Linked DNA regions of Caenorhabditis elegans. The protein of the gene in region 2 interacts with the protein of the main gene of each other region in a biochemical or structural test. Each region holds a gene or a part of one and is shown on either strand. Other genes may lie near its edges.

What was found.
Region 1: the proteins of lev-11 (region 2) and tni-4 interact in far-western blotting, tested with the Caenorhabditis elegans proteins (one study listed by BioGRID).

The regions. Positions count from the first base shown.
Region 1 is NC_003282.8:5,202,547-5,207,886, reverse strand, and holds tni-4 (Troponin I 4), read right to left. Parts: upstream 3,297-5,340; 5' UTR 3,281-3,296; coding exon 3,257-3,280; exon of another isoform or gene 3,236-3,256; intron 2,973-3,235; exon of another isoform or gene 2,952-2,972; intron 2,885-2,951; exon of another isoform or gene 2,864-2,884; intron 2,314-2,863; exon of another isoform or gene 2,293-2,313; intron 2,281-2,292; coding exon 2,040-2,280; intron 1,933-2,039; exon of another isoform or gene 1,911-1,932; intron 1,737-1,910; coding exon 1,592-1,736; intron 1,547-1,591; exon of another isoform or gene 1,526-1,546; intron 1,158-1,525; coding exon 983-1,157; 3' UTR 763-982; downstream 1-762. Other genes in the region: Y59E9AL.36 (RRM domain-containing protein), read left to right, coding at 1-3, 157-615. UniProt on the Caenorhabditis elegans protein: Troponin I is the inhibitory subunit of troponin, the thin filament regulatory complex which confers calcium-sensitivity to muscle actomyosin ATPase activity.
Region 2 is NC_003279.8:14,628,032-14,633,100, reverse strand, and holds the start of lev-11 (Tropomyosin isoforms a/b/d/f), read left to right. Parts: upstream 1-2,006; 5' UTR 2,007-2,141; coding exon 2,142-2,186; intron 2,187-2,321; coding exon 2,322-2,459; intron 2,460-3,159; coding exon 3,160-3,216; intron 3,217-5,069. UniProt on the Caenorhabditis elegans protein: Tropomyosin, in association with the troponin complex, plays a central role in the calcium dependent regulation of muscle contraction. Involved in muscle actin filament organization and muscle arm extension and morphology.

The DNA.
Region 1 (5,340 bases), on a different chromosome or scaffold from region 2:
ATTGTACGAAACCTTCTATGAATTTTTTAACAGTTAAATTCGGTATTTTCAAACTATTTTCTGTTATTTAGAGCAACAAAAACCACCGACGCTACTCCACAATTAAAAAATACATTAATTAAAAGGGAAAATAATTCTTAAACTAACTATTTCCAGGAATCTGCATTCTCCCCGTCGACTTCTATCCCATCATGCTCAACTGGTCGTGCTCCTCCTCCAACTTCACCTGAAGACGAAGCCCCTTCGACTTCCGAAAGTCTACAAAATCCAATTCCATACCACATCAATATTGAGCGATCACGAAACAAGAGGAAGAAAAAGTCGAAAAAAGAAAAACCGAAGAAGAAAAAACCGCCAACAAAAAAGGAGGAAGGTATTGAGAAACCAGAACTTGTCAAGAAGAAGAAGAATCGGCGGAGGAAGAGGAAGAAAATGTGCCGAAAACTTGCCAAGTACATTCCAGGAGGCCAGGTTCGAAGATTTTTCGAGACGATTCAAGTTTTTTCGTTGAAAAAGTATCTGGAAATGAAGCGACAATGGCAAGAGTTGATCAGGCTGGAACAAGAACGAATGAGAGAAGATCAAGCTATTGAAGTTCCCGATATGGAGTTTTAATTTAAAAATGTATTTTCTAATAATTATTGTAAAATCCCCACACATGCCATTTCCCTGTTAAAATTTCAAGAAAAAAACCACGGTTCAATCTCTAGATCTACATCAATCAATTTTTATGAACTATTCATCCCGATTTTTTTGTATAATATATTGTTTTTTGATTTATTCTTGTTGTTTCAGAGCACAATTTTTAGACAAAAAATACAGGAACAAGAAAGCAAATGGATAGGGCGATGGATATGCGAAGGTGAAATTTTTATAAAGAAGGAGAATTTTTTAGGATGGGAAGGGATTGATCGAGTTGAATTTGACGAGACGTTTCCAGGGGGTGCCAGTTATCCGAAATTTTCAATGATTTTATTGGAAATTACTTAGCCCACGCGGCTTTCTCCTTCTTCTCAGTGTCTTCCTCATCGAGTGCGAATTCGTTCTTGTCGACAACCTTGAGTTGAGCACGGAAATCGACTTTGGTGGCTTCCTTCTTCTTAAGCTTGTCGAATTTTCCCTCGGTCTTGGACACCTTCTTCAGGGTTGGCTTCACGCTGGAAATTTTAAATTTTTATTTTTTGGATGAAACTTTAATTTTTTGCCGTTTCAACATTCGGTCCTGTCGAGACCGGGATTGATATGTATTTTGCGTTAAAAATTGTAAATTTTCGCATCTGGGTATCATATGAACATTCGCTCTATGAAGCTAAAAATGAACTGTATACTCCCGTGTACTGTAGCTGAAAAGTTTGCGTTCGTGTCAGGACCCGAAATTGGTGAAGCTAACAGTTCTCAAAATTTTCTACAATATCAATATTTTTTGATTTGGTGTCATTTTCGTAATTAATTTTCCTATTTCCATTTGAAAAAATTTCCCGTTTCAAGATAGTAATATCAAAAATGGCGAAAAGTATTTTCTCAGTGCCATCCAATAATTATGTGGTTAAAATGAATACCCCCAAAAACTCAAAAAATATAAAAAACGAACAATTTTCCGCGAAGATCGTTGACAGCAATGGTCAACTCGTTGATCTCGAAATCCTTTTGACGAACGATGTAGCTGACGTCATAGTTTTCAGACTCAAGATCGATGAGTCTCTCGCGGATTTCATCGTAGACTGCCTCGAGGTCATCTGGAAAATTTAATAAAGATAAAACTCATGTAGGTAACCGCCCGGAATTATGAAGTTTTTACAGAGTTTTAACACTTTTTAAAGTAGTCTATTAGATTTAAAAAATTCAAGTTTTTATTTAAAAATTTTACTGTTTCGTATTTTCTATTTAACCAAACGTATTTTGGAGAGGTATTGACATCCTAGCAAAATGTTCTTTAATTACTAAATTAAGTGTTTTGTTCTATATTTTCATACATAATTGCATTTTACTGATATCCAAAAGTAGCATAAAATAGTTGTTTTCATCTTCAGAACACTTACCTTCGTTATCCAAATCTGGAAGTGGAATGATTCTTTCTTGAAGAATACGTTGTCTCTCTTGCTCTTTCAACATTTGTTGTTGCTTCAAATCTTCGGCGGCCTTCATCATCAAAAGCTTACGAAGCTTCTTCTTTCTCTCAGGTGTCAAGAATCCTTTCTTGGCTTTCTTCATTCTTGAGGCCTCCTCGAGACGCTTACGCACCTCTTCCTTCTTGCGCTCGCGCTCCGCCATTTTGCGCGCCTAGAAATGTGAATTTGAGGTACGGAAATGGGAATATGGCGGTTACGGTAACTCAATATTTGAACTGAAGACGAAACATGACAAGGGTGAACCAAAAATATTTTGCAGAACAAAAAATCCTTAATATTAAAAATATACTTACTGAGTATTTAAAATCTTTATGGGGTCTTGTAACGGCAGCTTTTATGTAATTCGCTTTTCAACTAAGTAAAAGACATTATAAACAGTTTCAACAAGTATATGAATCATTTACAATCACTATACATCAAAAAGGTGAACAATTTTTTATTTATTTTAAAGTTACTGTTTCAAAAAAACTATAACCAAAAATGTTTCTAACTATAAACACTATGTTTTTATATAAATAATATGAACATATACAGTCGCGCCAAAGCAATCGCTTCGTCTTAGTAAGTAAGGTCTTAGTAAGATCTTGCTTGTTCACAAACACGTTTTTTTTAAATTTTACTAATTTTTTATACCAAAGCTCACAATTTTCAAACTAGTCGAATAAATATATATATATATATATATATATTGTTTCAACGAGCCCACAAATTACAGTCACATTATAGTAAACGAATGCATTGTTTCCCACTAATTCATTTCTATTTCAAAAACTGTTACAGTTTCAGATTGTTGTTAATTTATGAATTAAAACAGTTTCATGTTTATTGAAGGGTTTATCCCAAAAACACTGGAAATATTTTCATTTTTACAAGTAAAAACTATCTCAAATTTTCTTTCAGATTTCAAGAAAAAATATAAAATAACTCAATAAAAACCATTTCCAACAAAAAAACCAAATCTGTACTTAAAATTTTCAACTGTCTAGACTTACTTCTGCATCCATATGTGGGGGATAAGGCTGGAAACTTTTTTTGGTTTACCAAAAAGTTTACAAAATTACTGTTTCATGTGTTTTACAAATTCAAATCAATTTTTATCTTTGCAATGAAATAAAACCACGACTCACCTCATCAGCGTCAACGTCACTCATGGTTATTGGTTATCACCTGAAATAATTTAATACGTAATTTAAAGAAGATCCCAATCAGAACAAGATCTACGAGATGAATCATTGATTGCTGTGAAACGGTAAAAGTTGGGTTGAGACAAAGAAAAGATAACGAAAAAGTGTGGGGGACACGGCGAAAATGCCAAGAAATTTGCTCGGAGAAACTGAATTGGCTCGGCTTTTCCCGATTGCCTGGTAAGTGTGTTTTCGAAATAGCACGGAAAATGAAGAGACGAGAGGAAGATATTTGCGAAAGGGGGATCCCGGCGCCTCCCACCACCTCCTCTTCAGTTACAGTAACATGGAAATAGTATGGATTATTGAGAGATTTAGAGCATCACGGGAAGAAGCGGGTGCTTGAGAATATCCTCAGTCTGTTGCAGTCAAGGGAATTGTTGGAAAAAAAAATGGAAGGGATTGGAGTTGAAGTGAGAAAAAATTATATTAAAAATGGTTGCTGCTTTGGTTCTTGAATAGAAGTAGATAATTTTATGAGAACTGAAACATTTTTAAAGGCAAATGATTATTTTCTTATGGGTATAATAATCATAAGCTTGTTTAAAACTGAAAACTAATAGTAAAAAATTTGAATTTCCAAGGTTCCTAGAAAAACTTCTAGTTTTTGCTGAAAAAGCCTGACACTGAAAAGTAAATTTTCAGACCAAAAAAAGTATCAAGACAATATTTCTACTGAAAGAAACTAAATTTTTAGCATTTCAAAATGATAACTTCGTTACTATGATAAATTAACTTGCTTTAAAAAATTTCCTATTATTTTATCGAAGAAACAGTAAATTATTTAAATTCTATCAGGACAACAACAAGCTTAAAATGGGAACTGTGAATCATGATTGGAAATCGCCTGTTATTTTTATACCAGTAAAATGTATGTTCAGTTGATTCCACGTAGGCAGAAAAATATCTGCCTGCCTGCCTTATGACTGTGCCTACCGCCAATCAGCTGCTGAATTTTTGACAACATAGAAAGCTTCACATGTGAGCTTTGTAGCTTTCAGATTGCTACTTTTTTAATTGAAGGCAATCAATTTTGGTACTCGTTTTAATTAATGCTTCAATAAGTCATTAACTGCTGTAGGAGATTTAAAATTATGATGAAAATAAAAAAAATACCGGAAAATAAATTCAGTTTCTCTAACAAGTTTTATCTTACTATTAGAAACTAGTTTGAAATCAAATATGATTTGAGGCTCAAAAATATTTTTTGTTACAACACGACTTGAAGGTACAAGTTTCCGTAAAAAATATGATAAGTTGTCCAAAGGTTTCAAATACATTTTTTTTGCAGTTCTCACTGTTCACAGTAATCAAAAAAATATACGATTATGTTTAATAAATACAATTGCAAATTTTGTTGAATTCAAAAAATTTGCGCGTTTAAATAGTACTATAGACCCCACCCCTGTCGTTGCCAATTTTTCTTCGATTTTTAAACCTTGACTTGTAAAAAATTCCATAATTTGGGAACTTCAGTAAGACTGGGCACCGTATTTTAATAAGAAAATTCAAAACTGGGTAGCAGATGATTGTCCGGAAAGTTTTAATGAAGTTTCGCTGAAAGATTTAAACACTTATATCGCCTTGATGAAACCGTAATTGTTGGTATATGTTCCCACGGTAACATATTTTTCATTTTTCAAATGGCTCCACCTGCCTTCTGCCTACCACGCACTTTTGCCTCTATCTCGTAGCGCAAGATAGCCCACGTTTTGTCTGATATAATCATAGGGTTTGGGGGATAGAAAGAGAGAAAGGGAAAACTTCTCAAGAGTTGTCATTTTGTGCGCGAGCTTGTTTGATTACTATCTCTCTCTTTTCCCATTTTAAAGCTACAGAAATCCGGCTATTTTCTCTGCGTCTATATGCTACTATGATGGGAGAGAAGAGCTTTATGAAGGTGGGGGTGGAACAAAGTACTCATCATCATGCGGGTTTCTTTAGAGACAATCTTTTTTGTTAAAAAGGAGGGGTGAAATGTTGCATTTTCAAGTGAACCTATAAGTCATATTCATCGTATTACCGGG
Region 2 (5,069 bases):
TTAATTCGGATAGAATGAAATTTAGAAAAGAAGTGTCTTTTCTTTTCCGACACATCCAATACGAACAGATATTATATAACGAGGTCCCCCTAGTCATATTACATGCAAGACTAATCGATAGGAAATAGTGTAGCAAGTAGCTGGTACTATTCATGGATCTATTTTTCATCACCATTATATAATCGTAATACATACATACATGCATATATACATGATCACGAATCTTAGTTGACATTAAATTATCACGACTTATTTAGAAATACTGTCTATGATAAATAGTTTTAACAAGTATTCTCCTACAAAATCATTAAATATAACCCTAAATTCAAAATAAACCACTACTATTATACCTCTTCCACATAATCCACTGATATTATCAAACAAGTTGCCCTCTTGACAATAAACTCTCGAACGCCAACTGTTTCGAATGTTTTGTCGTCGGCTGGATGCCACAATTGCTTCTTTTCGGGGATAAGAAGAAGAGCATATACACACAAGTAGTATTGGATTCTAATGTCAGGATTTCAAAAACTGAGACTCTGATCATTGACCGACTTTTGGGAATCTGAGATAAAAAAAAAGAACAATAACAAAAAAAAGTTTAAGGGAAGTAAATGCGTTTCTATGGATAGTGGGTAGGGCTGTACAAATCGGCGTCCGGTCGTCCGATTTTGACACCACCGGACGCACATGCGTCCGGTTGGGGGTAGCTATCCACGACGGCCGACAACTTCCGAGTTTCGCCACTCACTATACTTAATCAGCAATTTTATAGTGAGTGGCGAAATTCGGAAATTGTCGGCCGTCGTGGATAGCTACCCCCAACCGGACGCATGTGCGTCCGGTTCGAACTTCGGACGACCGGACGTCCGGTTGTACAGCCCTAATAGTGGGTAAAGAGAAATGGAAAAATATGGGAATGTATGAAAATTGGAAAGATGAAATGTGGTACTTCTTATTGTAAAATTAGACACTAATCAAATTCCGGAGAACAAAGCTATGTAACATGGCACTGTAAAAACTGAGCTTGTCATATTTTTTAAAATTCAGTTTTGATTGTTCAGTTTTCTTTAAAAATTCATTCATGAATAGTTACAGTAATAGGATATCTTATATCACGTGTGCATTAGTGTTGCAACCCTTTCCATAAAGTTTCAAGGTTCTTAAAAAAAGGTTCAACTGGAAAAAAACCATACTTGTAGCATACTCTTTCGTAGTGTAATATTACTAGGGAAGCCCAGATTTATGATATCTGTTCATATTGGATGTATGGTGAAAGGCAATATGATTTCGTTATGTTAGGCTTGAAGGCTTGTTAATAGGCTTTAAAAAAGGCTACCAGTAATGTTAATGTTAAGGTTGAAGCCTTGTTAGGCCTCGAAAATGAGACACTTATTTTTTAATTTTAACTCCATTAATGTTCAAATTTAAGGATGTCCTTAAAAATGTAACTAATTTTAATGACACCATTACTTTAATAATTTATTAAAGTTTTAGTCAATCTTGAGTTAAATTTTCGAAAATTTTGCAGCAATTTGATTTTACATCACTTATGGTTATTATTACTAACAGTCTAGATATATAAGAAATATCGTTACTATTTGTACGATAACGTAATTAACAATCAAATTGATAATCGTTTCAATTTTTTAATGTAAAGAGGCTCAGAACGGCTTTTGCCACGTCATCAAGCGACCACGCGAATATCGGTCCTGGAACACCATACCACCTTACTAATTATGTGGTTTTTTTTTAAAGTTTTGTTCCTTTTTCCATTCCACGAGAAACCCTTCTTCTCCCCAATCATCATCTTTTCCATCTGCCATCGGCTCTTGCTCTTCTCCCCACAATTCCCGTTGCTCCGTGTGTGCTGTAATATGCTCCAGGGGGGTGGGTGGGCAGGGATCCCATAGGCATAGGTCTCCACGAAATCAATACTATCTAATCATCTGCCACACCCCCGTCTGATGTTGTGGAGGAAGTGAGAAGAGAGAAGAAGAAGAAGAAGAAGCGGGGGCTCGTGTGGGAGGAGTCTCGTGAAGACGGGAACCTGAAGCTAACGGGAGAAGAAGAATCATTCTCCCCTCCAATTTGAATCGTCGATACTCCGTGTGTTTCAACACAACAACAAACTACCAAAAATGGACGCCATTAAGAAGAAGATGCAGGCCATGAAGATCGAGAAGGTTTCCACACTTTTTTTAAATTTTAATACTGTTTTATAGTGAATTTCTTCAACTTTTTCAATTTTAAAATTAGTAGTGGTCATATACATTCCAATATTTTGAATTTTTCCTCAAAACCATATACACATATTCTAGGACAACGCTCTCGATCGTGCCGATGCCGCTGAAGAGAAAGTCCGTCAGATCACCGAGAAGCTCGAAAGAGTCGAGGAAGAGCTCAGAGACACCCAGAAGAAGATGACTCAGACCGGAGACGATTTGGACAAGGCTCAGGTATGGGTTTAAGCCAGAATTTAGGCTCTTTGCGTATATTTTATCGATTTTAAGACCCCATATAAACTGGCTTCCTAAATTTTCGCTTAGATCTTGGTTTGATAAGACTTTAAGCTATCAGATTTTTACCAGGAAGCTTAAAAATTCATGAAAATCGCAGGAGTTTCTAGAAGTTCCAAAATATTGTCTAGCTTCTACTTTGATACCATATATAATTAGCGTATTATTAATACCTACTTTCTCAACTTAAAGCCGCTATCCCGGAAGATTTTGGCCTGAAACTGAGCAAAGTTCTGAAAAGCAGAAGTTGAGCTCTAAATTTCCTAATTTTTTGGAATCAAGCTTTTACAATACCTTATATATAGCGAATTTTGATTACAGTCCGATTTCAGAAAACAAAATTTTTTAGAGACACTGGCGCTCAAGTAACCTATAAAATCTTAAAGTATAACTAAAAATCACCCTAAAAACAAAATTCGAAATTCATAGTGCAGGGTGCTCAATTTGTAACTTTTAGCCCTAAAAATTTAACCTGGAATCTAAAATTTACCTAGGACACCACTAGAAATCAAATTCGAAGCTCATGGTGCATCGTCCACCTAGGTCTACCTGTCTCCCTGGGCTTATGCTCCTAAGCTGAAACACTTAGGCTTAAGCTAAGCTAAAAGAATAAGCTCAAAATCAAACTTCCATTTTTCAGGAGGACCTCTCCGCCGCCACCTCCAAGCTCGAGGAGAAGGAGAAGACCGTTCAAGAGGTGAGTCGACTTTCTTTTTAAAGCCCAATCCGGGCAGCTTTTGGTTTCTAAACCGACTTCAGGTATTTCCAATTCCCAATCCACAAGCACAACGACCAGGTTTGTGGCGCGATGTTCAAAGTCAATTAATCCGTTAATTAGTCAGTGAGTAGTTGGAATGAAGAGAGAGAGATACATACATATATACAGCTAGTTTTCCATTCCTGTCCTTTTGGGCATGAAAATGAGTGAGAGAGGGTGACGTTGATGATGATCCGCGGTTTTTTTCTCTTTTCCACCCTCTTTCTCTCACTTCCCATAGGCTTCTTCCCCCACCGGGGTAGCTATTGTTTTGTGTGTGTGTGTGTGTCTTCTTTTTTCAATAATGTTCATATATATATATATATATTGTTTCTTCAAATGTTTGGTATACATTGTACTGTATTCAATCATGATTCACTTTTTTCATTCCGTCGAGAGTCAGAGATAGGGTACTGTAGAAATCCTTCTTTCCCGAAAAAGACTTGATCAGGGTGTGGCTGTTATCTAGTTAGCATGTTATATAACATTATGTAATGATGTTCAAACCAGATTGGCATCACTTTTAGCTCGGTTTTCCAGATTTCCCAATTTTGTAAGTTGTCATTATACTGTTTTATTGAAAACTGATTGTGAGCAAAAAGTGTTGTCAATTTATGTAATTCCCTTTAGTCATTGCTATACGTTCTTGAAAAAATTTTGTTGGCTTAAAACATTCTTAAGCTCCGGCCTTAGCCAAATTTTGCAAGGCTACTTTTCAATATTTCGGAAAATTCTAAGTGGTGCCATGTGATATTTAATTTTCTAGCTTAACAAGCTATTAGTTTTCAAGTACTGATCCTAAAAATTTAAAGCTTAGAGCAGTGGCATTTTTTTTGGAATTTCACTAGTCTGGCGGTAACTTTAAGCGAATGTGATCTATTAACACGTGGTGCCAGGTTGTCTCATTGAAGTTTGATCTACAAAAAATGTGGGAATTTTTAGTCAGCACATTCTTAGCCATGCGAAATCAGTTAAGAACTGTGCGTCTCTTCTCCCGCATTTATGTAGATCAAACCGAAGTGAGCCACTCTGACACCACGTGTAATATAATAATCCAGCAGAATTCAAATTCCTCGTGGTGATTTTTCATGCATTACTTTTCATAGTCTTCGAAAAAAATGCTCAATATTTCCAACTTCGGAGTATTTCAAGTGTATGTTAAGCCTATTTTGAATCCCACGCATCACCGAATTTATCTAGATTCCTAGAATATCTACAGTGCATTTTTTTCCACTTCTCCAACTTTAAAGGAGGGCGCATTTATACGAAATGGTCCCGCCACGCGGCCCAAAAATCAATGCGTGGCGGGACCATTTCGTGTAAGTGCGCCCTCCTTTAAAGCGGTAGAAGTGGAAAAATATCAGTGATTTTTAGGAAAAAAACCTTTTTTTGTCGAGAACTTTTTTCCCTCTCCCGACGTTTTTTTTGCACACAACTTGGCGCGCCGAAATCCAATTTCTTTGCGAAAAGCTCAATCCCATTTTCCGTTACTGCTCAAATGAGCGAGAGGCGAAGAAGAAGAAGAAGATAAAGTTCGAGGAGTGTATGAAGTGCTGTTGGGGGCTTCCTTCCCCTGCCTGCGCCATTGTCTAATCTCTAAGTCTCTCTAGCTTCTCTCTCTCTCTCAATTTCTTCTCTTCCAACTGATTACAACGAGATGTTTGCTTTACAACAACTCCTCCCCGCCAATAGGCTCCCGAGGGCTCACTGAGCATCAACGGGCGGCGCGGCGGGAAAGAGAGAGAGAGAGCATCTCCCCCGCAATTTCAAGAAACGAGGAGAGCTGTGTGATC